Alligator mississippiensis: one gene and its partners. The protein of the gene in region 1 purifies or fractionates together with the protein of each later gene. This does not show direct contact. Links are inferred from orthologs where the notes say so. Each region holds a gene or a part of one and is shown on either strand. Other genes may lie near its edges.

The links.
Region 2: the proteins of POLR2B (region 1) and DNAAF10 purify together in Homo sapiens (affinity purification with mass spectrometry; 3 studies listed by BioGRID and IntAct, with this or other methods). This does not show direct contact. The link is inferred for Alligator mississippiensis from reciprocal best matches to the Homo sapiens genes POLR2B and DNAAF10.
Region 3: the proteins of POLR2B (region 1) and INTS6 purify together in Homo sapiens (affinity purification with mass spectrometry; 3 studies listed by BioGRID and IntAct, with this or other methods). This does not show direct contact. The link is inferred for Alligator mississippiensis from reciprocal best matches to the Homo sapiens genes POLR2B and INTS6.
Region 4: the proteins of POLR2B (region 1) and CTDP1 purify together in Homo sapiens (affinity purification with mass spectrometry; 3 studies listed by BioGRID and IntAct, with this or other methods). This does not show direct contact. The link is inferred for Alligator mississippiensis from reciprocal best matches to the Homo sapiens genes POLR2B and CTDP1.

Annotation. Positions count from the first base shown.
Region 1 is NC_081825.1:140,546,704-140,554,393, forward strand, and holds the start of POLR2B (DNA-directed RNA polymerase II subunit RPB2), read right to left. Parts: upstream 3,019-7,690; 5' UTR 2,907-3,018; coding exon 2,888-2,906; intron 2,042-2,887; coding exon 1,969-2,041; intron 1,459-1,968; coding exon 1,308-1,458; intron 1-1,307. Other genes in the region: NOA1 (nitric oxide-associated protein 1), read left to right, coding at 3,764-4,787. UniProt on the Homo sapiens protein: Catalytic core component of RNA polymerase II (Pol II), a DNA-dependent RNA polymerase which synthesizes mRNA precursors and many functional non-coding RNAs using the four ribonucleoside triphosphates as substrates.
Region 2 is NC_081824.1:217,097,218-217,104,648, reverse strand, and holds the start of DNAAF10 (dynein axonemal assembly factor 10), read left to right. Parts: upstream 1-4,272; 5' UTR 4,273-4,339; coding exon 4,340-4,528; intron 4,529-7,399; coding exon 7,400-7,431. Other genes in the region: RNA-binding protein PNO1, read right to left, coding at 2,262-2,411, 3,903-4,109. UniProt on the Homo sapiens protein: Key assembly factor specifically required for the stability of axonemal dynein heavy chains in cytoplasm.
Region 3 is NC_081824.1:416,203,247-416,211,381, forward strand, and holds the start of INTS6 (integrator complex subunit 6), read right to left. Parts: upstream 3,166-8,135; 5' UTR 3,017-3,165; coding exon 2,906-3,016; intron 2,822-2,905; coding exon 2,744-2,821; intron 2,643-2,743; exon of another isoform or gene 2,563-2,642; intron 2,265-2,562; coding exon 2,115-2,264; intron 1-2,114. UniProt on the Homo sapiens protein: Component of the integrator complex, a multiprotein complex that terminates RNA polymerase II (Pol II) transcription in the promoter-proximal region of genes.
Region 4 is NC_081826.1:112,945,480-112,953,382, reverse strand, and holds the start of CTDP1 (RNA polymerase II subunit A C-terminal domain phosphatase), read right to left. Parts: upstream 3,178-7,903; 5' UTR 2,977-3,177; coding exon 2,663-2,976; intron 1-2,662. UniProt on the Homo sapiens protein: Processively dephosphorylates 'Ser-2' and 'Ser-5' of the heptad repeats YSPTSPS in the C-terminal domain of the largest RNA polymerase II subunit. This promotes the activity of RNA polymerase II.

The DNA of each region.
Region 1 (7,690 bases):
GGATCACTGTGAGGAATCTGGTGAGATATGGTGAGCAATACTGGGCTAAGGTATAATCCCCCTGTCTTTTCTGGTAGCACACCCTAATTCCATTTTTAAAGTGGTATTGTATTTACATATGAATACACCCACTTAACTGTGGGTATTTTTTCCTGAGAAACAAAATTGCACTCCTTGGGTATCACTAGAACTTGCAGGGGGTTGGACCAGATGATCTCCTGAGGTTCCTTCCAACCCTAATTTTCTGATTCTATAACTTTTCTGTAGCAGTACGCAGGGCAAAATGTAAATGCAGAGGAGCCAAGCCACTTGCCTTTGGTAGCAAACCCAAAGGCTGTTTAGCTTCACAGGCTTAAAACTAGGACTGCCCCTCTACATAATATTACAGCTTACTCTGCTACACCAGAAAATGCTTTGGCAGCATTCTATGACAGATTTCCAATAGCTGAACTATTTAAGGCAGTTAACAGTGGCTCAATTTAAACGTCACTAACTAACCTCTGGTGTCAGCTTTCTAGGTCAAACGCTTAGCTTGATTTGCCAGTTCCAAAGTCTTTACTTAAATGAGCTTTTAGCTACCATGAGTGGGATCCACATGTACACATACAAAACCTCTTGCTATCTGTTTTAACATCCTTTGCAACATCTAACTCAAACTGACTTTGGCAATTTGTAATTTATCCCTATAGCACTTAACCTTTAAGAGAAAACCGTCTTTACTAATTAGATCTTGTTTCTGTTCCTCATAGGCTCTCTACTCACAGGGAAATTGAGACACACCTCACCTAAGAGGAAAAGGAAGTTTGATTGGCTTGCTCGATTTAGCAAAACAGCAGTCTGATTCCCATTCAGCCTTCATCTAACAATACTAACCTACAAGAACACACGGGTATAAATTATCCGTAAATAAGTGTAAGCTGTTAATTAGAAGGTTCCTAACCAACAGAATATTGAGATTCTGGACCAGCCTTTCAATCTTACGTTTGATTACTTGCTCATTCTAACTGTCCTCTGTCAATAACATATTTCCTTGCAATTGTATGACATCGCAGTAACTGAGAGCCTGCTGCTACAGCCATTTAACTGTATTCTTGGTCTTCTGATGAAAGAAAAAAAGAAGTAGCAGGACACAGTAACTTTCCAAGTGGCAGGAGACTTTATGCACTGCAGAAATACACAGTTAAAAGATGAAACAGAACTAGCATTTCCATTCTTGTGAAACAAGAGTAATATCAGCTGATTGAGGTAAATACTATTTTAGTCAGTACACCTGAAAAACAATGAGACTCTACAAGGTCTCCTCTTACCGGCTCTTCCACTTCTCCTGTAGCATGCTGAGCTTCAGCTTGTAGATCAATAGGCGGTGCATCTTCAACAATTCTCTGTACAGACATCTGGATGAACTCATCAAAAGAATCCAGCTGCTGTCGGACCAAGCCCTTCTCATCAAAGTAGGAGCTTAGGGGAAAAAACAATGTACATTCAGTTACTGAACAAGAATTTTTATTTTTTTTAAACAAAATATGATACTTTGGAAGCCATGTTTAAAAATCCACAAAATATGTACTGTCTCTTCAAAACCAATCACTGAAATATGAAATGAATTTGTTTATTTTCTTCTCCTAACAGAGTATTCAAATATGGCCCTTCCAAGAGGAATTGCCAGGACACAGAACAGGATCTAACATGTAAACTAAGTGTATCCTAAGGAAAAAAAACTGCACCGAGTTCCCACAACTATCTTCCCCATTAACCAGACACAGAATTGCAAAACAACTAATCTTTGGCAATTTACACATAAAGCAGCTGTGTACCGCTTTTCAGCTGGTCTTGTATTCTTAAAGTGACAGCATTTATGATTCTAGACGCAGTTCTGGAATTTCCATCTAATTCCAGATGAAATGTATCATATCAGAAGGTCAACCTCAACTACTACCAAAATGCCTTATTTAAGTTTCAGAAAGTTACCTAATAACAATCCAGCATGCTTCTTGCCACAAGTCAGGAGTGATTTCATCATCGTCTTCATCATATTGCATATCTGACAAGAACGCAAAACACTGAAATCAGACTAAGAATTATCATGTGTCCATACACTGGATATCCATTAGCAGAAAAAAAAACTTATTTACATACAGCTTTCCAATGAACTTAATACAACAGGCAAGGCTACATTGCCCTGTATTTCAAATTGAATACAGAAGTCTTTATTCGTCCATTGGTCCTTAATAGAAAGGAGGAAAAGGCAATGGTATGGTGAATACCAGTAAAAGGTGAATACCAGCAAGTCAGTCTGAACTCAATGCAAAGACTGAGGGAAGGGGCTGGAGGCTCCCTGCTTCTGATAGCTAGGATGCCCCTTCAGGGGCCCACATCCAAGAAAAACAATGCCCGCCCTGGCAACCCACTCAACATCACCAGCTCTCCACCTTTTGGCATTTCTTTCTTCCGATGCCACAGCCCCTCAGAAAACACTGGCTCCTCGCTGCCACTGATTCTTGACCAGGGGAAAAAACACTAGGCCAGTCCTGTGTGACCCCGACTTGCAGGAGCAACCCCATCCCCAGGCGGCTTTGGATGGTGGGGAGCCCCTATTGCATCTGGCACACTACATGTGGCAGCTCCCTGAAGCGAAGCAGTGTCAGCTCTGCTCTACTCCTGTTTGGCAGGCTGCCCTTTGAAAGCCTTGAAGGTGCACGAGTTCCAACCTCCCCCCAGAAGTCGCTGCGTTCTGCACAGGTTTGCGGGCGCACGATGCGCCAGGGGAGGGGAGGGGGGGCGCAGAGCAAACCCACGTTCTCTTCCCCGCCCCGGAACGGAACAGGCCTCCCCCCGACTGAGGCAAGAGTGGGCCCCGGTGCTCCCCCCGCCCGCGCGGCGCACTCACCCTCGTCCGCGTCGTACATGGCGGCGGTTGGGGCGAGGGGACAGCTCGGAACAAGACAAGCAAAGAAAGCAGCGGCGCGCCACCGGCTCCCCAGACAGCCGAGCAGGGAGTGCGCATGCGCTGGGAGCACTGCGGCTGCGCCAATTCCCCGGTCGCAGTTCCGCGGGCTACGTTACGTCCTTGCGTTACTTCCGGGTCGGTACTACGGCTGAGCAAGAAACCGAGCCTTTGAGCTCCGCCCACCAGAGAGAAACGGGAAGGGGAAAGCTTTGGTATGCGCGCATGCGCTGTGCTCACTTTCCGCGCCGATTAGCGCGTACCACTCTTTATGAAGGAGAAGGGGGGTGTAAATTTGGGCCGAGCCACCCGGAGTCCTGCAGGCAGAGCAGCCTCGGGTGGGGAGCTCCCCGAGGGTGCACTGTTGGGGCTCCTCTTGCCCCGCCTGCTGCTCCACTAGGTACGTCTGTCGGCGGGGGCTCCGCTGTGACTCCCTGCGAGCTCCTTCCGGCGTGTGCATCCCCCTGCATCTCTGGCTGCAGACCTGTGCGCTCTGCCTCTGCCAGCCGGGAGACACTCGGGATTCCCATCTGAAACCTGCGCCTTTGTCCCGAATGTTGGGGACACTCGGGATTCCAACTTGGAACCTCCACCTTTACTGTGTGCCAGGCAGGGCAGGCGGCGGGGAATCAGCGCCCCCAAAGGCGGCTTCAGCCGCTGCGGAACTTTCCCCCCGCGGGAGCTGGGCGCCCAGCCCAGCCCGGGGCACAGAGCCCGTGGCCCGCCCCCAAGCGGCTCCGCCCCGCCTCGCCCCGCCCCGCCCCGCCCCGCGCTGCGTGCTCCGGGCTCCCCACGCGGGTGGCAGCTACCGCCGCGGCCATGCACCGCCTTTGCCTGCGCCGCTTGCTGGTGGCTGGGGCCCAGGCCCGGGCCCGAGCTCTTGGCACCCCGTTCAAACTGCGGCCCGGGCTGCGCTGCCAGCCACTGCCTGCTGGGCTGGCCTCCGTGCCGTGGGACCTCCTGGGGCCTGGCAGCAACGAGGAGGAACTTTTCGTGTTCCCAGAGTACCTGCCGGAGGAACTGGAGAAGCCATGGGGCACTGAGGTGGTGCCGAAAAAGCCCCCCCGGGAGAGGCGGTGCCAGGAGCGGAGGCAGCACAGGCCAAAGGGGCAGCCAGATCCATCCATGCCAACCAGCAGTGTGAGCTGCTCGGGCTGCGGGGCAGAGCTGCACTGCCAGGACCCTGCCATGCCAGGCTACATGCCCAGTGAGAAATACCTCTCCCTGCTGGGGGAGCCTGAGGGCCAGGGAGGGCTGCGGGGTGCCGTGTGCCAGCGCTGCTGGCTCCTGGTACATCACCAGCAGGCACTGCGCCTGGAGGTGTCACGGGACCAGTACCGCAGCCTGGTGAGCACCGCCCTGCGCCAGCTGCCCCGCCACGGCCGTGCCCCACTGGTGCTCTACGTGGCCGATGTGCTGGACCTGCCTGACACGCTGCTGCCCGACCTACCCGAGCTGCTGGGCCCCACCATCAACATAATGGTCCTGGGCAACAAGGTAGACCTGCTGCCTCCAGACTCACATGATTACCTGAAGCGCTTTCGAAAGCAGCTGCTGCTTAACTGTGCCCAGGCGGGCATCCACCCTGTCACCAAAGGCATCAGGGGTTCAGCAGGCAGGCAGCACCTGGTGGACATTCACCTGATCAGCGCCAAGACGGGCTATGGGGTGGAGGAGCTGATCTCCAAGCTGCAGGGCTCCTGGAAGTGCAATGGGGATGTGTATCTTGTGGGTGCCACCAACTCGGGCAAGTCCACCCTCTTCAACACCCTGCTCCAGTCCGACTACTGCAAATCCAGAGCCTCAGAAGTGGTCAACAGAGCCACCGTCTCGCCCTGGCCAGGTCAGAGCTGGGGACTTGTGTCTGTTGTCCCATTGTGCTGCAAGCCCTTCTGGGCCAAGTTGTCTTTGGGTTTTATTTTCTATTTGTTTTGTTGTTACTTGCCTCCCTGAACCAATGGTGGATGTGTTGGAGGGTATGATGGGACAGGTCACTCTAGATATACCCTGTTCAGCTCTCTCCTAAAGCAGGGGTGTCAAACTTGTAGGGCCCCACAGGGTAGATGAGCATACCTGAGCTATTCTATGGGCCAGGCTGGGACCAACCCCCTGTGGAGTGGCTGTAGCACCAGATCCAGCCCCATACAACATGCGCTGGCCACTGGGGCTGAATTGTGGCACATGCTGAAGGAAGCATGGGAGGTTGGTTTGGGGTGCTGCACGCAGCCTGTGTCTCAGGCCCCCTGTGCTGCATGCAGTATTAGGTCCAGCCCACCTGCCATGGGCAGCACACACCCTATGCTAGCCCCAGGGCTGCATGCACAGCAAGCCTCAGGGCTACTATATGCTGCACACAGCACTGGACCAGCCATGAATGCTGTATGTAGCATGGGGTTGGTACAGGGAACACTCTCTATGTGATGTCCTGTTGACTGGCCTTGCATGCTGAGTCCAGGTCTAGAAGGGCGTTGTATGGAGTGCATCTCCCAAGCCGGCCCCCTGTGCCACGTGCAGCCTGCATGGCTGGTCCAACCCGGAGTGCCATATGCAACATGTGTTGGCCCTGGGACTTGTGCACAGGGCCCCCAGGACCAGCACATGGCACACGCTGTCTGCAGAGCACAGGCAGGATCCCAAGGGTCTGAGGCATGGGCTGCATGTAGTGCCATGGACTGACCCCCTGTGCTGCCCCCAGCACACATGGTATGGAGTCTAGCCTGCACACCACATGCAGCCTGCAGGGTTGGGGCCAGCACGTAGGATTGGTCCAGAGACCCAGTTTGTTCGACACAAGTGCTCTAAAGCATCCACTCCTGTCACTGTCAGAGATATGCTACTGGGTTAGATGGACCACTGGTCTGACCCAGTGTGCTAATAACTTATGTTGAAGGCCCAGTCACCTACCAGGACCCCATTGTGCAAGATGCTGCACAAACTCAGAACATAAAGAAAGCCCAATAATATGGCCCAGCTCATGGCCTGTCTTTTATCCTGACTCTCCTTAGGTTTGTCTCCTATTATGTGGTTTGTTTGTTTTTTGCAAATGGACCCCTTCCTTGTACAGTGCACAGGAAGGAAAACAGTGCTGCAAGGGTTGTGTAGTAGTGATGCAGGTGGCTGTGTGATTTCTGGGTCCCTTGTTTTAGAAATTGGAAGGTATCCAGTTAGTGAAACAGAAGAAAAGGAACGGCTTAGTGGTTCTGGCAGTTGAAAACTGGATCCCATCTAAAGACTTCCTCTGTGATACTAGTACTGATACTTAAACCAAAATGTACACTGTTGAACACTAATCATGCATCACTCCTGGTTGAGTTACCAGGACCTTGATATGCAGAACTGTTGGGCACTCACCTTAGTTAGCTATAACTTTGCATGGAAAGTGTTACATAATTCTACAAACTGAAAAAAGCTGGACCCATCTCAAAGTAGACATCCAGAGTATTAGACACTTGGTTACTTGTCCTTCATCTCTGCCTCAGATTCTGATCTGTAAATTGGAAATAATACTACTCTCTTTTTTTTTTTCACAGAGTTGTTGTGAAGATAGATTCACAAATGTTTGCAAACTACCTTTGGAAGTGCCCAAGAGAAAATGTGTAATTCTGTGTTCAGTGCAGGCTTTAGATGCTGTGTAATAAATAAAGGTTACAGCTGCACAAGTAACCAAAGAAACATACAGCTACCCATTCAGTGGGTATCATTTAACATGGACAGTGAATGAGGCAAGGGATCAATGCAAAAAACAGGATGTGATAGATAATTAAAGATTATGATGTACTGCATACACACTGGGGAATGAATTAAGGTTGCACAAGAAACCTTAATTCTGGCACTTCCTAATATTTTAGTGTTCCTGGCCTGTCATTCAGTATTTGATCTCTCCCTGTCCTGTCCCTTTTTACCTGTGTGCGTGTGTCTGACTTACACTGCTGAAGGCAGAGGGTGGAGATGCACCCTATAGACTTAACTAAATCAGAGATGTATAAGCTTTAGTAAGATGCCTGCGACTTATTACAGGAGTTTTTGCTGAAGAGCCTTGTCTGAGATTGGGTTACAGACTTACATGAAATGCTGCCTGCTTATGTGAAGCTTTCAGCTTCTCCAGAAATTCACAAGAAAAGATTCTGTACTTTGCAGCTCCCACGCCGAGCAGTCAGCACCTCCTGCATCTCCAGGAATTCTTCATATGCACTCCTCTCCCAGGCAGTGTCACCGGAGCCCCCATCTCCCTCATTCCAGGACTTCATGGGCAGCAGCACTTGAGGATCCATCACCACCACTTTTTCCTTTCCCAGGCCTGCTGTGGCATGGAAGGGTAGGGAGGGAAGAAGGATGACCTGTAGAGCTTTAGAAATGGAGTATTCTATTTAACTTTTAAGCCTGGTAGTTTTAAGTCAGGATAGAGACCCTTAAATGTATATCTGGTCCTTTAGTGATGTCGATTTGTTGGCATTGGCCTAGACTTGAGCATATTATATATAACTTTGCCAAACACATGATACTAAGTCTACTTGGGGGAAAGCAATATGTTTGCCTGCATTATCCAACAGTAAGCAGTGTGCTTTGAAACGGAGGTCCCCCACTTTTGATTTTGTTACAGAGTGGATTTGGCCCTTGTGAAGAAAAATATTCTGATGTCTTAGGTAGGGTGGGAGCTCAGGCACTTTATATAGGGTAAATGAGAGAGGCACAGACGTGACTCTGCAAACTCAGCAGTTTGTCTCATGTCTACTTATTCCTGGTGAG
Region 2 (7,431 bases), on another chromosome or scaffold:
GGCGAATTGGCTAGAGGGTTGCACCCAGAGAGTTGTAGTGGATGGGTCAGTATCGACCTGGAAGGGTGTGGGCAGTGGAGTCCCACAGGGCTCGGTCCTAGGACCGATACTCTTCGATGTCTTCATCAGCGACTTGGACGAGGGAGTGAAGTGTACTCTGTCCAAGTCTGCGGATGACACAAAACTGTGGGGAGAAGTGGACACGCCGGAGGGCAGGGAACAACTACAAGCAGACCTGGACAGGTTGGACAAATGGGCAGAAAACAACAGAATGCAATTCAACAAGGAGAAATGCAAAGTGCTGCACCTAGGGAGGAAAAATGTCCAGCATACCTACTGCCTAGGAAATGACCTGCTTGGTGGCACGGAATCGGAAAGGGATCTTGGAGTCCTAGTGGACTCCAAGATGAACGTGAGTCGGCAGTGTGACGAAGCCATCAGAAAAGCTTATGGCACTTTATCATGCATCAGCAGATGCATGATGAACAGCTCCAAGAAGGTGATACTTCCCCTCTATCGGGCGCTGGTCAGACCGCAGTTGGAATACTGCGTGCAGTTTTGGGCGCCGCACTTCAAGAGGGATGTGGATAACCTGGAGAGGGTCCAGAGAAGGGCCACTCGTATGGTTAAGGGCTTGCAGGCCAAGCCCTATGAGGAGAGACTGGGGCACCTGGACCTTTTCAGCCTCCGCAAGAGAAGGTTGAGAGGCGACCTTGTGGCTGCCTATAAGTTCATCACGGGGGCACAGAAGGGAATTGGTGAGGCTTTAGTCACCAAGGCACCCCCGGGGGTTACAAGAAATAATGGCCACAAGCTAGCAGAGAGCAGATTTAGACTAGACATTAGGAAGAACTTCTTCACAGTTAGAGTGGCCAAGGTCTGGAACGGGCTCCCAAGGGAGGTGGTGCTCTCCCCTACCCTGGGGGGTCTTCAAGAGGAGGTTAGATAAGCATCTAGCTGGGGTCATCTAGACCCAGCACTCTTTTCTGCCTATGCAGGGGGTTGGACTTGATGATCTATTGAGGTCCCTTCCGACCCTAGCATCTATGAATCTTTGAATACCACATCCATGCTTTGTTATCAAGGAGCAATGCCAAAGATGTAATCATACTTTCTGCTAATTCTGAAAAACGAAACCCTATACTCTCACAAAACACCAAATTACAAAACTTTTCAAAATTAGGCATCTTTATCATATTAAAGGAATAAAGAAATTTGAAAATGTGACTTAATACGTTTATCAAGATGTGAAAGTGTTGTGGTAATCTGAAACACATCTTGATAAATGTATTAAGTCACATTTTCAAATTTGAGGATGGAAATCTGTACATTACTGGTGTAACATCTTTCTTGATAGCAGCAAACTGTATAATGAGCATTGTAGCAGCTACCAGAGGAGAGGCGGCTAAATTATTTTTATCTATAGTGCCTCTCTTTTTTTTCCAATGGCTATAACATGGCAAACCAGTTACGCAAGGGAATGCAGATTACTAGGTCTGGTTTCTGATGACATACAACATTTCTAGAAAGCTTACAAAGCTGTTGCAGTTATAAATGACATATTGGAGGTAGGATGGGGATAGTTTTGTGACACTTTTTGCACAGCAGAAGAATCTGAGATTTGAAACTTGAGTTTGTGTAGAAATAACCTAATGTGAGAAGCAGTGCAGACTCTTGGTCTGGATCAATCTGATTGTCACCTGATGATCTCACAGAAAAGCACTTGAGAATTTCATCCTGAATCAGCTACTTAAATATTGTTTTTTGACTGTGCCTCTTAGGTCAGTGGTTCTCAACCTCAGTAGCCTCCAGGCAAAAATCTACTACAATGAAGAAAAGTCTCACTGACTCAAAACTAGATAGGCAGTATGTGGCCTCAAACATCCATAATGCATTAAATTCTTAAAAAAGATTGAGCAGCTGGACCATACCCAGGATTTTTCCTCAGTGCCAGAACTAAATAATTTTTCCTTAGAGAGATATAAAGTTAGAGAAACAAAAATAGCATGAAAGTCAGTCCTAGGAATAAAATTCTGTTCTTAAGTTTTACTTATGTCAACTATTTACCTCAAAACAGTAACTGCTCTTTTTTAACTGGGATATGTTTTTTGCAATGCTCTCATTTGGCTTCCTATAGCAAATACCTAAGGTCTAAATCATTAAAATATTTCTACACATTACAATTTTTTGTATTTCACATCCCAGCTGAACCAAAGTGATACACTGTTTGCAAAAACTAAGAGAAAGAGCTTTCCCATTACCTTGATTTCCACATTTCTTGTTTTTAAATTAAATCGGATTTGAAGTTGCAAATGTTCCACAACAGGTGTGAATATTTTCATCCAATTCTCTTTCAAAGGGGTATATCGGTTTGCTGGTACAGGGATTTTCCTCATTTCAACTTTTTCACCCTAGAAAAAGGGATTTCAGTTTTACTTAAAAAAAGAAAAATTAGACTAATGCCCCATGGATCCCAAAATAAGGGTCACCCCTCTCCAAAACCCCCACATGCACATTTTTGTCCAACCCATTTCTAAAATTACCCAGGCCACCCACCCCCACTGGTCTGAGGAGGCACAATTGACCAGTATGAGAGGCCTGTCCCCTCCCCACCAAATCAGTGGGTTTCCAAGATGCTGCCCTGCTTTGTGCAGTCCTGTGAGAACTCATTTGAGATGTGCAGCACATTAAGTGGCCCCGAGCTTCCCCCAAACCCATGCTGACACGCTGGCTGCTAGAAGACGGCCTGTCAGTGTGCTCAGTCACCAACAGGTTTTTTCCCCGCCCTTGAACAGAATGAATAATAGTCCAACAGACAGTGGATTGCAGGACTGCCACACTCACAATCCACCAAACAACCAAGCAGTGAAAGAAGAATGTTATGCCTAAGTTTTGCGCTGGGGTGCAAAGTGCTAGTAATACTTGTTGGGAAGGGGCTGCATTAAGGACCAAAGGCTGCCATCAAGGACATCAACCTTTAAACCGGAAACCTGATGAGGTTTCTCTGCTGAATCCTACTTCATTCCCATCTAGAGCTCTTCAGCTGTAGCTCAGCCAATGTAGCATCAGTGTGGATTTGGGTAAAGGTTGAGCCACTTGCATGTCCTGTAAAATGATTTACCTCTAAGGTAAGGACTGCAGAAGGCAGGGCAGCACCTCATATACTAACTGGTTTATGGGGAGGGAGGTGGTCCATCTTGCCCAGTCTCAGTGCCCCCTTTTAGTGAGCTCACTGTCAACCTTTGACCTTCACTCCTGTTTTGTCTCATGAATTCAGTTAACACATACGAAACAGCCCCCTCTATAAACAGGAAGGGCTAACTGTTGCTCTGCAAGCATAACATCCATGTTCCCAACATGCGGCAGACAGGCCTAAGAGGAGGCCTGTCCTGCTGTGCGTGTCCAGGCATAAACAACTGGATTAGATGACCTCTGGGGGTCTCTGCCAGCCCCACTTTTCTATGACTCTAAATTGGGCAAAATGCTGTCAGCAAGACGGCAGCGCCAGGGGGCTGTGGCAGCTGCTCCAACTACCTGGGCACGCATCTCACTTTACAGTGAGGGTGCAAGGCTACTTTATGGGTGGAATAAAGATACCAACGAGCGTCACACTGGGGCAGCAAGCAGGCACCGAAAGGGAGCGGGCAGAGGGTCTGACCAGGACTCACTCTTCCTCTCCCACTGGCAGCCTCCAGCATCTACAGGACCGCAGGGACTCGGAAGTCCGGATGCAGAAGCCGTTACCCCTTTTTTCCCCAAGGGCCTGCCCAACCCCTGGCCCCTACACGCCGGGGGGGGGGGGAGAAGGGGGGTCGCCCCGCCCCTTACACACGTCACGCCTAGGCCCCGCCCCCGGCGGGCGCGGCGGGGGAGGGGGAAAACCCCCTGTCTGCCTCACGTACCCCAAGTGCGGCGGTGGGGGCGGCGGCGGGAGGGAAGCTGGGCCTCTTGCTGGGCCGCGGCTCCGCCGTGTCCATGCGGCTCGCGCCAGCCGCTCGCCGCTTCCGCTTGCCTCTTGCCACCACGCCGGTGAAGCCGCCGTCGACCTCCACGGCGCTCTGCGTCTCCATGTTGGCTGCCCCCCCGGGCAGGTGTCCCGTCACCTCCATTCCCCACGTGCGCTGCGGGCCGCCGCGCGTCCTATGCGCATGCGCGCGAGAGGGGGAGGGCGGGGGCTGTCCCCAAGAGGCGGAAGTAACCTCCCTAAGACGGGCGCGTCCGGCGGCAGGGCGGGGAAAGCCTAAACCGGATGTTGCGCTCTCAACGCGCTTCCGGCGGGTTGCCAGGGGGGTGCAGGGGCGGTTGTGCGCGTGAGCGGCGCGGCGCAAGGCGGGTCGGCATGTCAGGCGCGGGGCTGGAGAAGCCACAGCTGATTGCGCACCTGCAGCAGGCGCTGAACTACACTGCCTTCCAGGCCCTCTGGGTGCCGCGCAGCGCGCGCTTCCTCTGCCTCGGCAGCCTCCCGCGCGGCACCGGCATCATTCAGCTCTACGAGCTGCAGAGCGGCCGCCTCAGCCTGCTGCGCCAGGTCCGCGCCGCCCCGGGTGGGGGGGAGGAAAACGGCTGGTTGCTATGGCGACGCGTGGGCTGGGGCGGGCTGCCAAGCGTCCTGTCCCGTTCTCCCCCACCCCCCCGGCGCACCATGCGGCTCCAGCAGGGGCAGGGAGCACAGGGTGGGGAGCAGAAAGCAGAAAAGTCGCTATGGTGGGGAGCAGAAAGCAGAAAAGTCGCTATGGTGGGGAGCAGAAAGCAGAAAAGTCGCTATGGTGGGGAGCAGAAAGCAGAGCAGCGGATCAGGTGGGGATCAGAGTGACACTGGCAGGGAGGGCGCAGGGATAGTTTGTGGCAGGCCGGGTAGCCTGGTTGCTCTCTGCCCTGCTCCTTCAGCTTGGGGAACGGGCTCCTTTATTCCGCTCCCATCCTGATGCTCGTCTGCTATTACTTCGTTCCTTATTTTCAAGATTTTCCTTTGCAAGTAAAATGCCACAGACTTCCTTTACTGGACACGTTGCCCTCTGTCAGGCCCACAGTTGCCATAAGCTCAAGATTTGCTGCCCTTTCTCCATCTAATGAAGGAGTTCTGGTTAGTCAAGTACCCCAGAGGGATGCGGTTGTGTTGTTCCTGCTGGCTGTTTCAGGCTTTGCTCAAAGTTGCAGGCATGGTGGCAGCTTTTGAGGTACATTGCAGCTCCACGTGAGAAGTCCGTGTTTAAAATGCAAGTAACGTTTGAGGATTTGCTAATCTTCAGGAGTGGGAGTGTCTCGGGTGCATGGGAGTTAAAGTTCCCAGGGGGCAGGAGTGCATAAACTTTCTTGGTTCACAGTTCTGTAGGGATAACACATGGAGGGCACGGGCTGCTTCAGACTAATAGAAAGAATAGTTTAATTATCTCTTCTGTACATACTGTTAGACCTCTGGGATGAGTTCAAATTTGCCTTACTTTATAATTGCAAATCATTAGAGACCACAGACCTGTCAGCCTTTGAATATTATTAGTGAGCAACGGCAGGGGAGGAGAATTACCATATTTACTCAAATCCAAGACGAGGTTTCTTTCCTCTCCATTCAGTATGGGGGGAGACACTCATCTTGGATTTGAATACAAGGCAGGGAGCAGGCAGGTACTGTGGCTCCAGCCCAGCCCTGACCTGGTCTCAGAATTGGGAGTCAGAGCCACAGCCCAAGCCACCCCCACAACCTGCCCCTTCATCTCTGCTTCTGTTCCTTCTGCCCCTCTGCTCTCCCTTGCCTATGTGCTCAGTTTTAGCTCTGGCCTGGGGCACAGAGTACATGCTGGCTTCTGGCCCTGCCCAGCCTAGCAGCACCAGTTGTGATGGCACCAGCTCTTGCATTGGCTTCAACCCAGAGCTGAAATTGCCACCGCTGCAACTGCTGCTGCCAGGCTGGGCAGGGGGCTGGAGTTAGAGCCATGACTGAGGGAAGTGGCACCAGGAAGGTGGGGCCCACAGGCAGTGGTGGGCAAGCAAGTGGCAGGGATAAGTGTTGGGAGGCAGGGGGTGGGGAGGTACAAGTGAGGAGGGGGTACAGATGGCAAGCAGCAGGGTAGGGGCGCAAGATGCAGGGAGCAGTCCATTGGACGGTGATGACATGTAGGGGATTCACATGCACCCCCTGAGAGTCCTGGTGTACCCCCTAACAGCCAGTGTTCTCCAATTAGGAGACAGGCAGGGGGGGCAGGCAGAAGTGCTGGTGGCCCCCCCTCGTGAGTGCTGGCTGGCTGGTGGGGGTAGCAGGAAAAGCGCCACTGGCACTTGCAGGAGTGTCGCTTGCACTTTCAGGTCCGCATGAGCGGCTGCAGGGGACACTCCCCACCCCTGTCAGCAAGATGGGCCACAAGAGACCCCTCCCCCCAGTTGGCGCAGTCGGCTGCAGGGGGACTTCCCCTCCCCCGCCGTGGTTGCTGACTGGCTGCTGGGGGGGCACGTGCCCCCCTGACTCAGGAGGCACCAGTCGCCCATGCCATTGGACACCCCCGCCACCTGCCACACTGACGCCTGCTCCTTTGCCATTGCTTGCCTCCCCATCACTGCTTTTATCACCACTGAGGTGGGGGGGGACAAATTTAAGATGACCCTCCAAGAATTAGATTCTATACTTGGAAAATTACAAACTAGCAAATTGCCTGTCAAGAATGGGGGGGGGGGGGGAGACGAGTGCTGCCACCACCCCATGCTGCTGTCGCCTCCAAGGAGCAGGGTGGCAGGGGCTCTGTCCTCACCGTCATTCTCCCCATCCCTGCACCGTTGCTGTGTCCCCGCCATCATTCTTGACAGGCAGTTTGCCCTGCACACAGCACTGGCTGGAGCCACGCCCCCAAGAGCGTTACAGTTACAGACTGACACACAGATGGACTAAGCCCTTATATATCATAATTTATAAATTTTTCATATATATCTAATTATTGGGGGGGGTCATCATAAATTTGAAGTCATCTTGGATTCACGTAAATACTGTATTGTTTTATAGAAGGTTTAATTTGCATTTTATACAGGAAACCCTTGGTATTTGTGGGTTCAGCATTCACAGTTTCAGATATTCGCAAATGCTGAACCTGCATTTTAAATACACTTTGAACACTTACCGGAGCTCCTTGGGAGCTCCGCGTTTGCTGCTGCTGGGCTTCTGCCACTGCTGTCGGGCTCCTACCGTCCCCGCTGGAGCCGTGCCCCACCCCCCAGGTGCTGGGGGCACTGTGTTCATGAGCGCAGTGCCCCATTCATGGATTTTGCTGTTTGTGGGGATCACGGGAATGTATCACCCGTGAATGGTGAGGGTTGCCTGAACTGACTTCTAAGAAGCTCTGTATCTGCAGTAGTGTTTTGGTGATCACTTTAATGTGCTGATAAAAAAAAAAAAGTTACCTTTTTTTCTTTTAAGATTGAAAAGCCCAAGCCCATTAAATGTGGAAC
Region 3 (8,135 bases), on another chromosome or scaffold:
TTCTAGCCCTAATGTCTATGAAATCTATGAAATGGAAGCCCTTGGCAGTCCAGGATGTAGCATTTGCCAAACATATATATATTAGTGATTAAACAAACCTTTCCTAAGTTTAAGCATCCTTTGCCATCTATGTATATAGGCGTATATGTGCACACACGTGTGCACACGCGCAAAGGATGCTTAAATTTAGGAAACATTTGTTTAATCACATACACAAACATGTATATCCCAGAAACCTTTCCCCAACTGCAACAAATGGAAGAGGTTGCAGCAGTTGATGAAGTTTGTAAAATAAGCAAGCTTGGAAAGACTTGCAATCAAGGAACTACAGACAGGTCTGATCCACCTCAGATGAAAACAACTTCATATTATCAAGCACTGCTTCATAACAACAACCAGCCAATGGGAACATCAATTCACCCGCCCATCTGAATGAAAAAAAGAAACCCTAAACTGGCTGGCTCACTCAGGATAAGTAACTTAATGTGAGCATCATCAGTTTTCATCAACATCCATAGTACAAAGTCGGCTTCTAGTGTTTTATGCCTGGGATAGCAATTTTTTTGTGACAACATCATGAGACTAAGCCAGAGGTATCAAACTCATTGAGCCCCATGGGCCAGATGAACTGGAACAGGGCCAGTTCACAGGCCAGATAACTGGTATGGTGTCATCCTACAGGCCAGACAGGGCCCACAGATCAGTTCCACAATGGTGCAGGCACTGTATGCAGCACACCCTGGACCAACCCCACATGCTACATGCAGTGCGGGCCAGCCCCACATGCAGTGCATGGATCCAATTCAGCACACGCTGTATGAAACATGTGGGGCCACTCTCCATGGGCAACACCACAGGCCATATCTACCTTGAGGGCAATATCTTTGACACCCCTGACCTAATTCAACTGACACAAGAATTCAGGGAAGAAGAAAAAAAGGTGAACATGCACATACGTTAATAGATTTAAAAAAGTAGCTCTGTATGGGAAAGTAGTGCATTTCAAAGTTTCACTAATCTATCTACATTCAAAAAAATATTGAGGGTGACTTTCATCTAGTAGTAATGCAACATGAGAAGTCTAAATGCCCCTCCTAGGCAAGAGGAACATGACACTGAAGAGGAGACTGTATATTCAGATTTAGAATTCCTCTGTAAAGCACCTGATGTCACTTGAGTAACTCCAGTTGACCAACAAGAAGCAGCAACCATTTCTTTGCCATTAGAGGGAGGGTTACATCACAAGAGGAAACCAGGAGAGGAAATGTGAGATAACATGTCTCAAGTACAAAATATACAATTAATATGCCTTCTCAAATGATCAGGTTTGCTACTCACTACTATACTAAACAAACCTATGGTTTGCTTCATGTTCCTAATTCCTTATGTTCTAGGCTAAACAGGAATTGAACACTTCCCACAGCACGTGCTCAACTTGTGAGAGAAGGAACATTGTATTGTGCTCCAATACATCATAATAGTGCACGTAGAGCTTCTTGTGGTTCTTATATAGGGGTCAGAAACTGAATGATCTGGTGGTGTACAACAGAAGTGAAGGAATATGCTAAGAAAGACGACAAAATCTGACACGCAAGATTAAGTCTCTGCTCCAATTAGCCTAATATTTGTGACTGCTGCAGCAATAACACTTCAGAAAAAAGCTAAACTCCCAAAGCGCAACCCTACTGATGGCACAGCACTGTACATGAAGACGCTTCCTCCTTTCATGAGCCTGGTGGCAAATCAGCTGCTGACCTGAAACAAAGGTTTTAATTACCTGGCTCCTGATAAATGTAAAAGAAAACTGACAGTCATGGTAACTGGAAAAAAAAAAAAATGACAACTTCAAAAGGTATGTTAGTGTTCAAAAGGTGAAGAAATATTTACAACTATTAAGGAAAAACCAAACTGAAGTTGGGTAAAAACTACGTCCTGCTTGGGGCTGCTCTGATGGCTGAATGGTTCTTTCAAAGTAGCCCCAAACACTTTCAACTGCAGTGTCATGAAGGAAGATCATTTTTGTCAATGAATCCTGTATGGTTTTGTGAAAGCTCCAGGGTTGGTTTTTTGAGGGTTTTTCCTTTAGGTGTTCCCCCTATTAACCGTCAACCTACCTGCCCATAGTTGTCTATGCCAGTTACTAATCTATTTAAGTTTAATAAATCAAAAGCGGTCCTGAGGGACTGGCCAAGAGTTGTCAGTCCTTCAGCCTGCAGGTTTTTCAGCTCGCTCATAAACGTTGCGTGGTTTTCTTTCCATCCGGCCTGAAAAGAGAAAGGCAAGAGAGGGGCTTATCCCAGGATAGTGGGGGGCTGGGATTGCCCTTCCCCACACAGGCTCCCACAGGAGGGGGTCCCTCTGGGGACAAGGCGAGTGCTTCCCAGGGCACCCTGCGAGGTGCCAAGAGGGCACTGCCCCCACCCTACCCCGGGGGTGGCAGCAGGGTGAAAGAGATGGGAGGGGGCGCAGGGAGGGGAGGAGAGGTGAGGAGAGCCCCCCCCCAGCCAGGCCCGGAGCGAGCGAGTCGCTGTCACTTCTCGCAACTCGCGCCGGATCACCCACAGTGCCTTGCGGCTCGCGTCCCGCGCCGCCAACATGGCGGCCATGTTGATGTCAGCGCCGCCGCGGCCGGACACCAGCGCGGCCGCCCCGGCCCCGGCGCCGGGCGGGGGGCGGGGCGGGCGAGGGGGTGGGGTGGGGGAGGGGAAGGGGGCGGAGCGCCGCACGCTCGATGGGGCTTTACCTTGATGGCGTAGGGAGGCTCCTCGAAAGTGACCAGCATGTACCTGTCCCCGCGGCTTGCGGGGTCCCGGGCGCGGAGCTGCGGGGGGGGGACAAAGCGCACGGTTACCCCGAGCCGGCCCCGCGCCGCCCCGCCCGCGCCCCTTCGCTCCCCGCCCGGTACCTTCATGAAAGTCTCTACCGCGCCTTTGGCTACGTCCAGATAGGTGGTGCCCAGATGGGTGCGCTGGTTCATGGAGGCGGACGTGTCTATCAGGAAGAGTAAGATGGGCATAGTGCGGAGCGGCGGCGGCGCCCGCGGCGGGCGCTACATGGACAGGGCGGGGGCCGGGGGCGGCGCGGGGCGGATGCGGGGCAGTGAGTGCTGTGCACGGGGCGCTCCCGCCGCGGGGTAGCCCGGCCCGGGCCGCCTTTGTGTGCGGGCCCGCTCGGCCCGGCCCGGCCCGGCCGCGCGGGGGGTGAGGCGCAGCGGGCGGGGGCTGCCCGGCTGCTGCTGCGGCCGCCGCTCCCTCCCCCCCGTGGATGTAACTCAAAGTTTTGGGTGGAGCTGCCGCGCGCACCCCCCACCCCAGCACTTTCTGTCTCTGACTGAGGCGCTTCCTCGCTCGACTCCCCCTTTTAAGGCAGCCTGGGCAGGTCGGGCACCGCCCCCGCAGGACACGTCCCTGCGACACGTGATGACCTGCCCGCCGCGCCATAGGGCTCCCGCCGAGCTCTCATTAGCATATTCAAATCGCCGGGGGGGGCGGGGGAACGGCGGTTGGCGGCGAGCACGCGCCAAGGCCTGACGGGGGCGCATGTGCACTGTGGCCGCTCGCTCCTGCGCTGGGGGGAGGGGCGCGAGAAAAGGGGCCGGGGGAGGACGGGGCGGGGACCCCGCTCCTTCACCCGCGCGGGTGAGTCACGGGCTATGGGCAGGTCCTGCCGGAGGGTCTTGGGGCGGGCCCGGCCGACTTGGGAGCTGCGTTCTGTAGAGCCTCGCGGCCGTGGCCTCCCCACAACTCAGCCCCTACGACTGGGCAGGGCGGGGCGGGACCTTCCTCCCGGGCGGTTGCTTCGCCCGCGGCGGCGGCGGCGGCGGCAGCCCTGAGGCGGAGGTGGCGGCGGTAGCCCCGAGGCGGCGGGGCGGGATGTGTGCGGGCGGAGGCGGCCTGGCCGCCCTTCCCTCAGCGCGGTTGCGGGTTGCGGAGCCGCGGCGCTAGCCTGGGGGAGGCGCGGGCCCGCCCCACGTGCAGCGCCCGGACACGTGGCATCTCCTCCCCCCCCCTCCCGGGGCCGTGTCACGGCGCCGCCCCAGCCCGGCCGGTGCTGCGTGGGGGTGGGGGCCACGGGACCCACGTGCGCTGCTGCCCGTGGGGGCGGCCCGGGGCGACCTTCGGGCTCCGCCGAGCCGCTCGCCTGGATGAGTTTGAGGCCCCTGCGCCGGGGCTGCGCCTCGGCATTGGGCGGCTCCGTGCGATCTGCTCTCGGGGCACAGGCATTGTCTCCCCGCTCGGGGTGTGCGCAGGGACTGCTGTTTCCTACCCGAGCTGACTTCCCCTCTTGTGCCAAAAATGGTGCTGGTTCTGATCTCCCCCATCATCCCCACTGAGCCACTTGGCTGCCTCAGACAAGGAATCAGCAGTGCCCTGGCCTTGTTCTGTGTCCCCACCCCTGCACACCAAGGCCTACCTTTGGTCCAACGTGCTTTATTTGGGGCCAGATAAATGCGAGGCTGGGGTTTAGGGCTAATTTCAGGGGAGCAGAGGCAGAACTTCTTGCACCCGTTGTTGCTGTACTGGTAGGTATAAGCAGATCCCTCTTGCCAGCGCTGTGTTAGGTGCTGCATTTGTGATCCGCCCAGCAAGATGACTCCAAAGGCCTTTAAAAGGTGAAAACAAGCCCCCGGTTGCTTCCTGTACCCCTGGCTGACACTGGACCTTGCCTAGAAAGGGTCCATGTTTAGCAGTGAAGGAGGTGGTTTCTAGGGTTCCATGTGACTTAACTGTCTTCTTGATGGGCCATTGCCCTACTATAAGTAACTGTTTCCTCTGAGAGAGGACTGCGTGAATCTTGCTGGAGGTGAGTGGCTGGCAGTTATCTCCCTGTGGTGGGAGGGAAGGGGGTGACAGGGATCAACCTTGAATTAAGGCTATAGGAATGCTGTACAAATCAGGGCTCATAGCAGCAACTAGGGAGTGACATGAAATAAAACTGCATACTCTGCTATAACTGGCTATCTTGTAAAATTGTGATAGGGACATTCCTCAGACATGCCAAGGAGGTTGATTTGGGCCTAGATGGCTGCTATAACTGAAGAACTATTTTACTTTGTTCATAGGGAATCCTAGTTCAATCCGATGCCCTTTTCAAGTAGCTTGTTCCCTAGACCCATCTTTAAAGGCTACAGATAGTCAAAGTGACCTTCATAAAACAAGTCAACGGTCTTGTTTTATGTAAGTAGTCCATAGCAGTGTAATAGAAGTGACTTCACTCGGGTATCTCAAGCTTTCTGCGTGAGCTGTGAGAAAAATCTACAGATAGCATATAGAAATATGGTATTCTCCGGGGCAAAAGACGGGAGAGGGCAGTTTAAATGCCTATCGTTCCAGTGTATTACATGAAGAACAGTCCTTATCAATGAGCTAGGAAGCCAGAAGATCAAATAATTGCCTAACTCTAACACTAATCTGAAATCTAAAGGTAAGAGCTGTTCTGTTTCACTGCTGTGGGTGGCAAGATGGAGCTTAGACAGTAGGAGTCATTTTGCCTTCCAGGGTTTAGGCCCAGTGGACGTTGCTGGCTGAAAGAATCTGGTATTGCATGCACGGAACCTGGGCATCTACAGCAATATCCAGAGACATGCTTAAGAAACATACATACCCACTGTGACTTTGAAGCTGGCTGCTGGAATCACTGCAGGCAGCTGGCACAGTCCCGTCTTCATGTAATACTAGTATTTTTTGCCTTCCCATATTAGGTCACTTGTAGATACAGAATCAAGGATGCCTTTGTACTGCCTATGCTAGGCATTTGTGCTTTTATATTGCAAGCTGGCTATTTTGATTATTGTTTAAGAAAAACTGAGCAAGTGAAAAGTAATTTGTTTAAAGCATTTCGCAAGAAGGTGTGACAGCAGCCAGCTTGTGATGCAAGAATCCTAGTGTCTAGCAGCAGCATCCAAGTGATATTTATAAATATCTCCCTGTGCAAAAGGATATACAGAGGAGCAGAGCAGAAAATAGCGACCTTAGTGGTCATGTTCATTAGTGCTATAGTAGCCATATCTGAGCATAGAAGTTTCCTTGAGTTTTAACGACTGAAAATGGATGCCACTTTTTTGGGCTTCTCAGCTTTGTTACATTATAGGTATATTTATACTCAGAATGACAGTTCCCCGTAATCAGTTGTTTTATTTAAAATTTAAAGGAACAGTCTATCTGAAATATGCTCTCTCACAATTGTGACAAGCAATGCCTAAGAGTATTGTCACTGAAGGATAAGAAAGGGTTTTGGTTGTTTTTTTTTAATGTATTCATTTTATACATAAGCTTTTCATGAGTTCTTCGTAGTAAGTTTTCCTGGTTGCTGTATGAAAAGCCACATAAATACCAAGGAATCTTTTTAGTTCACAAAATGCAGCATGGGAACTCAGCAGCAGGGGTAGCACCTGAAACTATTTTGCTCACTCTGTGCTTCAAAATGAGTGGTGTCCCTTTAAAAACTAGTGTGGAACTCATTCAAAATTGCAAATCTGGCTTTAACATTAAACACTACATGTACAGAGACACCGTTTTGAAATAAGTAGATTTAAAACTGAAAATATAAACAAGATGTAATACTTTTGTAACACTTGCTATTATTGAATAAATTTTACTTCAGTTTTCTGTTCCTCCTGTTTGATAGTTGGATGTGATGATAATCTTATATAACATAATATGCTGTCAGATCTTTTGTCATAAACTTCAGGCTTGACTAGAGGACGCTGTGTGGAAGACATTTATATAGATCATGGAACTAGAACTTTTATTCTCCCCTCAGTCCAATATTGTTCCATGAAAATCTTTCAGTATTTTGTTCAGCTCAGTTTTAAATGATACAAGTGATGGGATTCGCAGATTCCCTTAGAAGACTAAATCAGCAGTGAAGTAGATCTTGCGAATACTCTGCTTAAGTTTGCCTTTGTTCATCCTATTGCTCCTAGTTATGATGCATCCATTTAGAACACATTTAGAATCCATTTACCCCTCAGGGCAGGGGGTTGGACTCCATGATCTAATAGGTCCTTTCTGACCCTAAAAAAAATAAAATCTATAAACACCCTAAGCCAGGAGTGGGCAAAATACAGCCTACAGGCTAGATTTAGTCTACAGCGCCCCTAAAAAAAAACATAGAAAATGTATTAACTGTGTGGCTGCCTGTTGAAGATAAGGCAGCAGGGCCCAGGGGCAACTGGTGGCGGAACCCAGCAGCTGAGCAGTAAGGCTGGCCCAGCTCCACCCTGCCCCCAGACTCCACCCCAGCCCCCAACCGGAAGTCTTTGTGGCTTCTGGCCTGGTGACCCTTTAGATGTTCCCTGCCCTCCCTCCATCCAATCTTATCTAACTTTCCACTTGGATGGGGGGGAGTGGGGGGTAACGACCGCTGCAATCAGCCAACGCAGTCTGGAAACCATGTGGTGCTGACCAGGGCAGGCTGGAGCAAGAGCAGCCAGCAGGCAGGAAATGGCAGAGGATGGAAAGCTGTGGCAGCAGGCAGGGAGTCAAGATGGGCGGGAGAAGTAGCAGGAGCAGCAACAGCTGGGAAGTGGTTGGAACAGTGGCAGGCAGGCAAGTGGGAGGGAAAGCAGGGGAGTGGCGGGCAGTGGCACGGAGCCTGTGCCAGTGCCTTGGGGCTGGCATGGACCCAGGGTGGGGTGGCAGGAGCACAGAGCCTGGGCACAGGGTCTGCCTGGCTGTATTGCATGAGGCTCAAGTGCTGTCCATGAGAGCTGCACACAATGGAGCTGGGAGCCCAGCCCTGTCTCTGTCCCTCCCACCCCACCCACCATAGCCCCACAGCCACCACCTCAAACACATACTTCACACCCCACTCCCCAACCACATCCTTCCACATACACTCTCTTACTGCCCAGTAGGACCGTATTTTGAGCTATGCAAGCACATATAAATCAGGACAAGAATATTTTTTAATAAAATTAAAATAAGTTATAGATGTTTTATTTTTTAATGTATGATTTTTTTTTTTTTGGTTTCAAGATAGTAGCGCCCTTCTTCCCAAAAGTAGTATTCCCAGGGCAAAGGGAGGGACTTCTGGTGGTAAAGGTCAGGGGTTAGAGGTGGGACATCTGGTCTCAAGGTGGAGCACCTGTCAAGGGGCAGGGCTACCCTTGCAGCTTTCAGCAGCTCACCAAA
Region 4 (7,903 bases), on another chromosome or scaffold:
AGCTCCAGAAGAGCATTTGATCACAACCAATGTTTCAAGACTGAATGCAGCTTATGTAGCTTCTAGGTACTTTACTAAGTCCAAAGCAACCAGCACCAGTCTATTTCTTTTTAAAAAGGAAAAGTACATGTCTGCTAATTGTGATCAACTGGACTAAGAGTGAGAGAATCCAGCACAAGTACTGAGCATACCAATTTCCACGTAACAAAATGAAGTGTTTATATTTGCTGGCATCAAATCTAACATAAACCCATATTCCAGTGTATACTGTTTTCTAAAAACCCTGCTGTCTTAAACCACCAAAGTCTTTGTTATGTTAGGTATTAAAAGTAAAAGAAACAACTGTTCAACTTTTTAATACCCAGCAGTGCCACAAATGTTCTTGATTTTGGTCCAGACACATAACTATGTCTGCACCTGACCCTCAAATTATATTACTGTTTCCAGGATTTAGTTTTCATATCCTCTTTTCATGGACTTTTCCAAAGCCCCCAAGGAAGTAAGCAGTAACTTCTGAGGTACCTTCTCTCCGTCTGTTTCAGATGAATAGCCATAAAACATTCATCACCAATATATGCTGCCTTGTGCCAAAACAACACTTGTAGAAGCCCACACTTTTTCTCTTGCACAATCATTTAAAAAAAAAAAAAAAAGTGTGCTTTCAAGAACCAGGAGCACACTTCACTGCATTTATATATGCATTTCCTATTACTATTTCTATCAAAGGTTCAGCTTGCTTACATGTTTTGACACATATTTCTTGGAGCTTTAAAAATATCTAGCTACACAGGTTTTCTACAAATACCACTTTCTTTCAGTAAGACAAACTCAGGCCTTTATGCATCCATCTGTCTCAAAAGAACTGCAGTAAAAGAAAATAACTTGCCACCATAAAACAAAGGAAGTAGAAGCTTTCAATGGTTTCCTGTTGAGAAGATCTGCTTGAAGTGAAGGGTAGGAAAGTCATTAGACAAACAACCTACAGGGCTGAAAGATCCCATTCAAAAGTTGAAACTACTTTTAAGTTCTTAAAAAAAAAGAAAAAGAAAAAAAAAGAATAGTAAACAAGTCACTCAGGAGAAGCTTGTATGCAAGGTTACTGAAACAAAGTTTCAGATTCAGTAACAAAGATTAAAGAGTAAAAAAAAAAATAACCCCCAAAATTACCACACATACTTGCTCACCCAAATACAGAGAACTGGTCAACCCAGGTATTTATAAGCCACACCCTATACGTTAAAATATCGTAGTGTTCATGGTAACGACGTTGTAGTAAACACGAGTCCCACTAAGTCGTGTCATCATACCGCTAAAGACCTGGCTGTCAAGTGACAATCCAACATTATACAGCAAAAGTTTTGTTATCTGGCACCCATGGGGAATGGGGGGTGCCGGATAACAAAAATATGCCAGTTAATTGAGAGGCCCAGCATTTGCCTGTTTGGGCCGCCGCTTCTCCTGCTGCGTCCAGGGCGTTGCCGCCCCTCCTGCAAGACAGAGGCAGGCCCCGTGCAGCCTGCTATGCCCTCGGCTGTGGGGGCTTGGCAGCGTATGGGCTGTGGGGGCTCGGTGAAATGAGAAGTGCCACGGTGGGCACTTCCGGTTTTGTTTTTACCTTAACAAGCCGGCATGCCGGTTAACTGAGCATTCCAGCTTGCAAGGTGCTAGTTTAAGGCAGCTTTTACTTATTAAGCCAAACAAGAATCATGAAGAAGCAAGGCTGGAAGGGACCTCCAGAGGTCATCTACTCCAACCCCCTTCCTGAGGCAAGATCATCCCTACCCAAACTATCCTGTGCAGTCCATAATCTAAATGGTTTGTAAAACCACTGTCAACCCACAACACAGACCTGACACCCTAACCTGACACAAGTAAAGCAGGGGAACCACGGCATCCCACATCCTGCTTCTGTGAAATGCTGTAATACTTGCTCAAGAAATCCTGGGTCGAGGGCCATGCCCCCACTACAGAGGAAGGCAAAACCTACTGCAATCAGTATGAGTCTGAACGTGGGGTAGAAAAAGAAGCTGGAGACTTTTGCTGTTTGATCCCTGGTGCTCTTCTAGGACACAAATTACAAACAGAACTGAATAAGCTGCCTGAAGATGAACTCCTAGACAACAGCATGGACACGCTGTGGCAGCTCCCAGATCCTTACATCAGGGGCCAAGAACAAGCCACGTGCAAGTCTGCTTCAGCTCTTCTACAGCGTGAGAAAGCAGAGCGCGCTGCTCTGCGGATGATGTGCCAGCCCTGAGTGCCCCATCCCGGGCCAGGGGAATCGCTCCAGCTCTGCTCCTTGCCTGCCCCAAAACACCTCCTCAACCTTCCCCACTGGCATCACCCACTAAGCGCAGCATGTGGGGCCAGGCCAAGCCACCCCAGTGAGGTGGGACGCGAGACACAACCTGTCATCACCATGGGGCTCCAGTCGCTCTGCAGCCGAGTGGAACAGGTCCCAGCGGCGGCTGTCTGCCCACCTGCCTATGCACCTGTACCCATCTGTTTGCCCGCCCACCCTTACGTGCCTCTGTGTCTGTCCCCGTTCTCATAGAGTGGCTCAATGGCAAATGAAAAGAGCGCAAGTCTGTCTACCTACCTATCCGTCCCTGCCCATCCCCGTGCGTGTATGGGCCCTCCCCGCCCCGCCGCAGCCGCTCACCCCGGGGCGACGACCTGTCCGGGCCGCGCGCACAGCTCCCGCACGACGCCGGGCCGCTCCGCCTTGAGGCGCAGCTCGCTGCCGGCGCGCTGGGGCCGGGCGCTGGCGCCGCTGCGGGCTCCCTGCGCCGGGGCGGCGGCGGCGCTGGCGGGAGGCGGCCCCGGGGCGCCAGGCCGGGGCGCGGGGGGCAGCGGAGCGCAGAGCGCCAGCACCGACCCGATCTGCACCGCCGCCCCCAGCGGCACCTTCCACTCCAGCAGCCGCAGCGGCCGCGGGCCCGGCACGCGGATCTCCGTCACCGCCGGCTCCGCCATGGCCCGTCCGTCCTCCCGCCGCCGGGGGGGTCGCTATGGCGACGCTCGCGCCGCCGGCTCAAAACCGGGACTCGCGCGCTCAACTGCCACCGCCGCGGGGGGAGGGGAGGGGACGGGACGGAGCTCAACAGTCACGAGCCACCGCCTGAGCGTGAGGTCACGGTGCTACTGCGCAGGCGCAGCGCCCGGCCACGCTTAAAAGGGACAGTAACGCGGAACGTAAGTCAAGGGGCATCCACGCGCACGGAGGAACCGCCGTTTCCCGGCATGCAACGCTCCCGGGTACTTTTTTTTTCCCTCCTAACTCCCCGCTTGTACACCACAAACTACCAGTCCCAATCTGCACTGCGGCGGCGCGCACAGACGCGCGCAAGGGGCAGGCGCGGTGCATGCTGGGTCCTGTAGTATCCAGGTGGGCGCCAACATAGAGCTGCCAGGCGCGGTGCATGCTGGACACTGTAGTTTCCAGGCGGGGCGGGGTGGGGGAGCTCGGAGATGAGCGTGCTCAGCGGGTGGAGGCGCAGTTCCAAATGCGCGGGCGGGACCGCGTGTAGCACGGAAATAAAAGCCCTGCTGGGGTACAGCACGTCTTAGCGGCCGCTTCCGCCGCCCACACATCTCAACCCAAGCACGCAGGAAACTGGAGAGCGGGGCACCCTGGTCCTAGGCACGCGTGCTCGCCTGCTGAGTGGCAAGACTGCGTCTGGCGCCTTTTGTTGCTATGCAGGGGGCAGCGGAGGGAAACTGATCACAGCCCTTGTTCTAGTCTCAGTGTTATGGGCGCGAAGGAAGAAGAGCAGGAGTTGGATATGAAGAAAACTGTCACTCAGAGGGTGGTGAAGCACTGGAACGGGTTACCTAGAGGGGTGGTGGTGGTGTCTCCATCCTTGGAGGTTTTTAAGTCCTGCTAGACAAAGCCCTGGCTGGGATGATGTAGTTGGGGATGGTCCTGCTTTGAGCAGGGGGTGGACTGGATGCCCCCCTAAGGGCCCTTGCAACCTTAATTTTCTGAGGAACCTGCTCTCTCTTTCCCCTCCCCCCACCATGCCAGAAGGTAGAGGCTGAGACTCCTGTTCACCTGCCGAAGCCTGCCTTGCCAGGGATGCCTGCTGCAAAAATCACCTGCTTCTGGCCTTCTCCCAAGACCATACAACATGTACAGTTGCAGACTTGGGGGGGGGGGGGGTGCGGTTCTTAGGTGGGTGGTTCTCAGCCTTTGTCAACTTGCAGCAGACCCTCGGTGCTGGGGAGTTGTGAAGGGCCCTCGCCCCTCTTGGCTGTATCATTATAGTGTCCTGGAGGAAGACTGATCCTGGGAGTGGTTCAGTCTGAATCCTAATGCTTAGCCTGAGAGAAGCGGATTGTAAGGGACAGTTTCTAGGGTGTCAAGACGCCCAGGCCAGTGATTATCACACCCCAGGCTAATTAAAGTGCTCCTAGGAAAGAATATAGGTCACAGGCCTTGATTCAGTTTGCCTGCTCCCTCTTTATCTGGCCTAGAGATCCTCATCTCAGAGGAATGGGCAGGAATGCAGAAATCAACCTGAGCTGCATGTAGCCCGGGTGTACTCGGGTAAGTACTCCCTTCTCCAGTTGAAGGGGATTGTTAGCAGGTGCGCTGTGGGTGGAAACTGCACACTGAACAGTTTCCCTCCATTCCCTATAGAGCCAGGCCAGGACACTACAACTTAACTATTTACACATTTATTAAGATCATGAACCATAAAGAGAAATATAAATATATATGTAGCCTGGGTACACCTGGGGCGGTGTGCCCTCACCCCCGATGACAGTGGTGGTCAGGCAGGGTGCTGAGGAAGGGGTCAGCTACTACAACAGCTTCCTCCCCTCTCCATAGAGTTCGGGTGAAAGCAAATACTTAATTATGTACAATTTATTACAAGAATAAATACAAACAATATAAAGCATAGAATATTTACAAGGCTTAACATATAATACTATATATAATATTCCACAATTAACATATAATACCAAATATGAACCAAATAACTTACAACCTATACAGCACAATTAACACACAGGGATAGTAACTTAACCATAATATTTCTTTAAACCTTCAGAAATAAGAATACTAATATACACATTGAGACATTAAAACACATAAACCCCCTTAAAGAATACCTCTAGCTATATAGCCCCTAATACAACACCCTCAAAATAGGGAGTGCACTCAGCACCTCCCCAGGGGGTTTCCCTGAAGCACCCCTAACCTTTAGGGCCCTTAGGATGTGGACACACACCTCCTGCAATGGAGGGTGGAGGTGGCAGACCCTCCTCACCTGTGTCAGTCTCCCCTGCAGGGCCTACTTCCCCAGTAACTTATGCTTCCTCTCTGGAGAAGTCGATGCTCATCCCCTGGTGGCCAATCCTGCAAGAGCCTCTCCCCAGCGGTGCCTTCGGCTCTCCTCGACAGCCTGGTGCCCTGCGCTGGGCACCCAGGGCTCGTTCGCTCTCTTGCAGGAGCCAAGCCCTTGCAGGCTCCAACTCCCCAGTCTCACACTGGGGGTTCTCCCCTTTCCCAGGCCCTGCCCTGGGCACCAGGGCTCTTTTAGTTTAAAGTGGAGCTGCACTGTGGGGCTCCGGTCACTCGGCCTAGGGCCGGGGCTAATGTGAGCAGCCACAAGCTGCTTCCAAGGCGGTTCTCCATGCGCTGACCTGTGTGCCAGGTGAGCCCTCCTCCCCTGTGGGAATCTCTTGTCTCCTGGTAACTCACAGCGAAGCATCTCCTCTTCTGACAGGCTCACCACCCTCCTAGTCTCCCCAGGGCCACCTGCCTGCCCATAGCCCTGTGCACCATTAGGTGCACTGAGAGCTCTACCTATTGCCCAGCTTCCTCGGGCTTTCTCTGGGATACTGCCCCCTTAGGACTCTGTGCACCGTCATGTACACCAAGGGCTTGGCCTCTTGCTTACGGTTGGAGAGCTGGGCTGCCTTGTGCAGTGCCAGGGTCTCTGATTGCTCGCAGATCCTCTGCACCGCACTGCCTGCACCAAGTTCCTGGCCTCATGCCGGGGTGGAAGACCCGAGCTGCCTTATAAAGCTCCTAGGGTCTGGGTCCGCTCATGGACCCTCTGTGCAGCGCTATCTGCACCAGGTTTTCTGGCCTCATGCCATGGGTCGGAGACCCAAGTTGCCCAATCAGCTCCCAGGATATCTTTCCATGCACCGCTTGTGCACCAAAAAGCCTGGCCACTTGCCAGGGATAGACCAGAGCTGCCTCCAAGGTTCCCTCTAAAGTGCGCACGTGCATGGCCACGCACAACTAAAAGTGTGGCCATGCACAGCCTTTTCAAGGCCGTGCACCAGGAGAGGAGCTGAAGGTCAGCTCCTAGGCAAGGTGGGGGTGGGAGCCTGGCGCAAGCTCCGGGAAAGTGCTCTGCTTCCCCACATCAGGCCCGGGGAGTGGAGCACTTCCCCAGAGCTGGCGGAGCCCACACCAGCCACCCGCCCCAGCCCCTATCCCTGCCTTGCCTCACCTCGGGGAGGAGCCACTGCCTGCCCCGAGTGAGGGTCTGCCAGCTCCAGGGAACTGCTCTGCTCCCCTGCATGGCCTCGGGAGATGTGGCATCAGGGCCGGGGAACGGAGCAGTGTCCCGGAACCGCCAAAGCCTCACTTGGGGCAGGCAGCGGCTCCTCCCTGAGTTGAGGCAAGGCAGAGATGGAGGCTGGGGCAGGCTCCACCGGCTCCCAGCCTCTAGCCTATCAGCTCAGGGACTAGCCTCTAGCCAACACCCAGCCCCAGCCTCTCGGCTCCAGCCCCCAGGCTCTCGGCTCCAGCCCTTGGCCCCCAGCCTCTCAGCTCCAGGCCCCAGTCCCCGGCCCCCTTTGGTAAGTGTCCCACACCAGACCGAAGCAGCGTGCTCATGGACTGAGGCGGCACACTCACAGACCACTACTCCTTATAGGGAGCATTGGCTGCCTCGTGCAGCTCCCAGGGTCTTTTGCTCTGTGCACTGAGCTGTACACGGTTTGCTGTGCTCAGCAGCAGGACTGGGGATGCAGCTGCTTGCTACTCCCGTCCAGTGAGGGCGTTTTTTGGGGCTCTTGGGGAAACAGCTCTGCCCTGCTGGCCAGCTCTCACCACCTCTTCTTGTCCATCCTCTTCTCCGTTCCTCAACAGCAGTCCCATGTGCCAGGCATGCTGCTCTTTTATTCCCTCCAGAGGTTCTGCCCCTGGATTGTGAATGGACCAATCAGGAAGAGGGGATGTGCAGTCTTCAACCAGGTCCAGCTCTGTGCCTCGCGCCCCCCCCCCCTGCAGGGCAGGCTCCTCCCCTGTCATCACCTGATTGGTGAGAATGCCCCACCAATCACTTAAAGCCCTTTTTGAGCTGGCAGCCAGGCTGCTGTTGGAAACCTCACCACATATATAAAACTCCCCCACAGAGTCCTTACCACCTAGTAATTTGTATGTTCACATATTCTCTGTTGTATGTAGCTGCTCTTGGTCATGTTGCCCAATTGCTAATACCTCAATAAAACAGTGTATAGTTTGGAGGAACATAGTTTTTTTGACTATGGAAAAATAATAGAGCCATTCTTCTGCGTTACAAAGAACTCTGAAAGGCCACAGCACGGCAGAATGGTTTTCACACAGTGGATTCCTATTTTAAATCTCTGGTTTATCTTGTGACTCTTGTTTGTACACCTAAGAGGGCTAGCACCCTGTGGCACCCCTAAAAGGAACTTGCAGCACCCTGGTTGAGAAGAGAAGTCTGATCTAGACTTACCTGGTTCTGCCTACATAAGTTCTGGCAACAGACAGCTGCTGCCACTGCAAACAAAGCATGTGACCATTTGTGTGTTTCTGGCAGCTCCGGGTGACCTGACTCAGCAGCTGTGCTTTGCTGAGATATACCAGTGCACCTAGGAAGGCACCAACTGCCTTTGGGACAGGTTTACACTG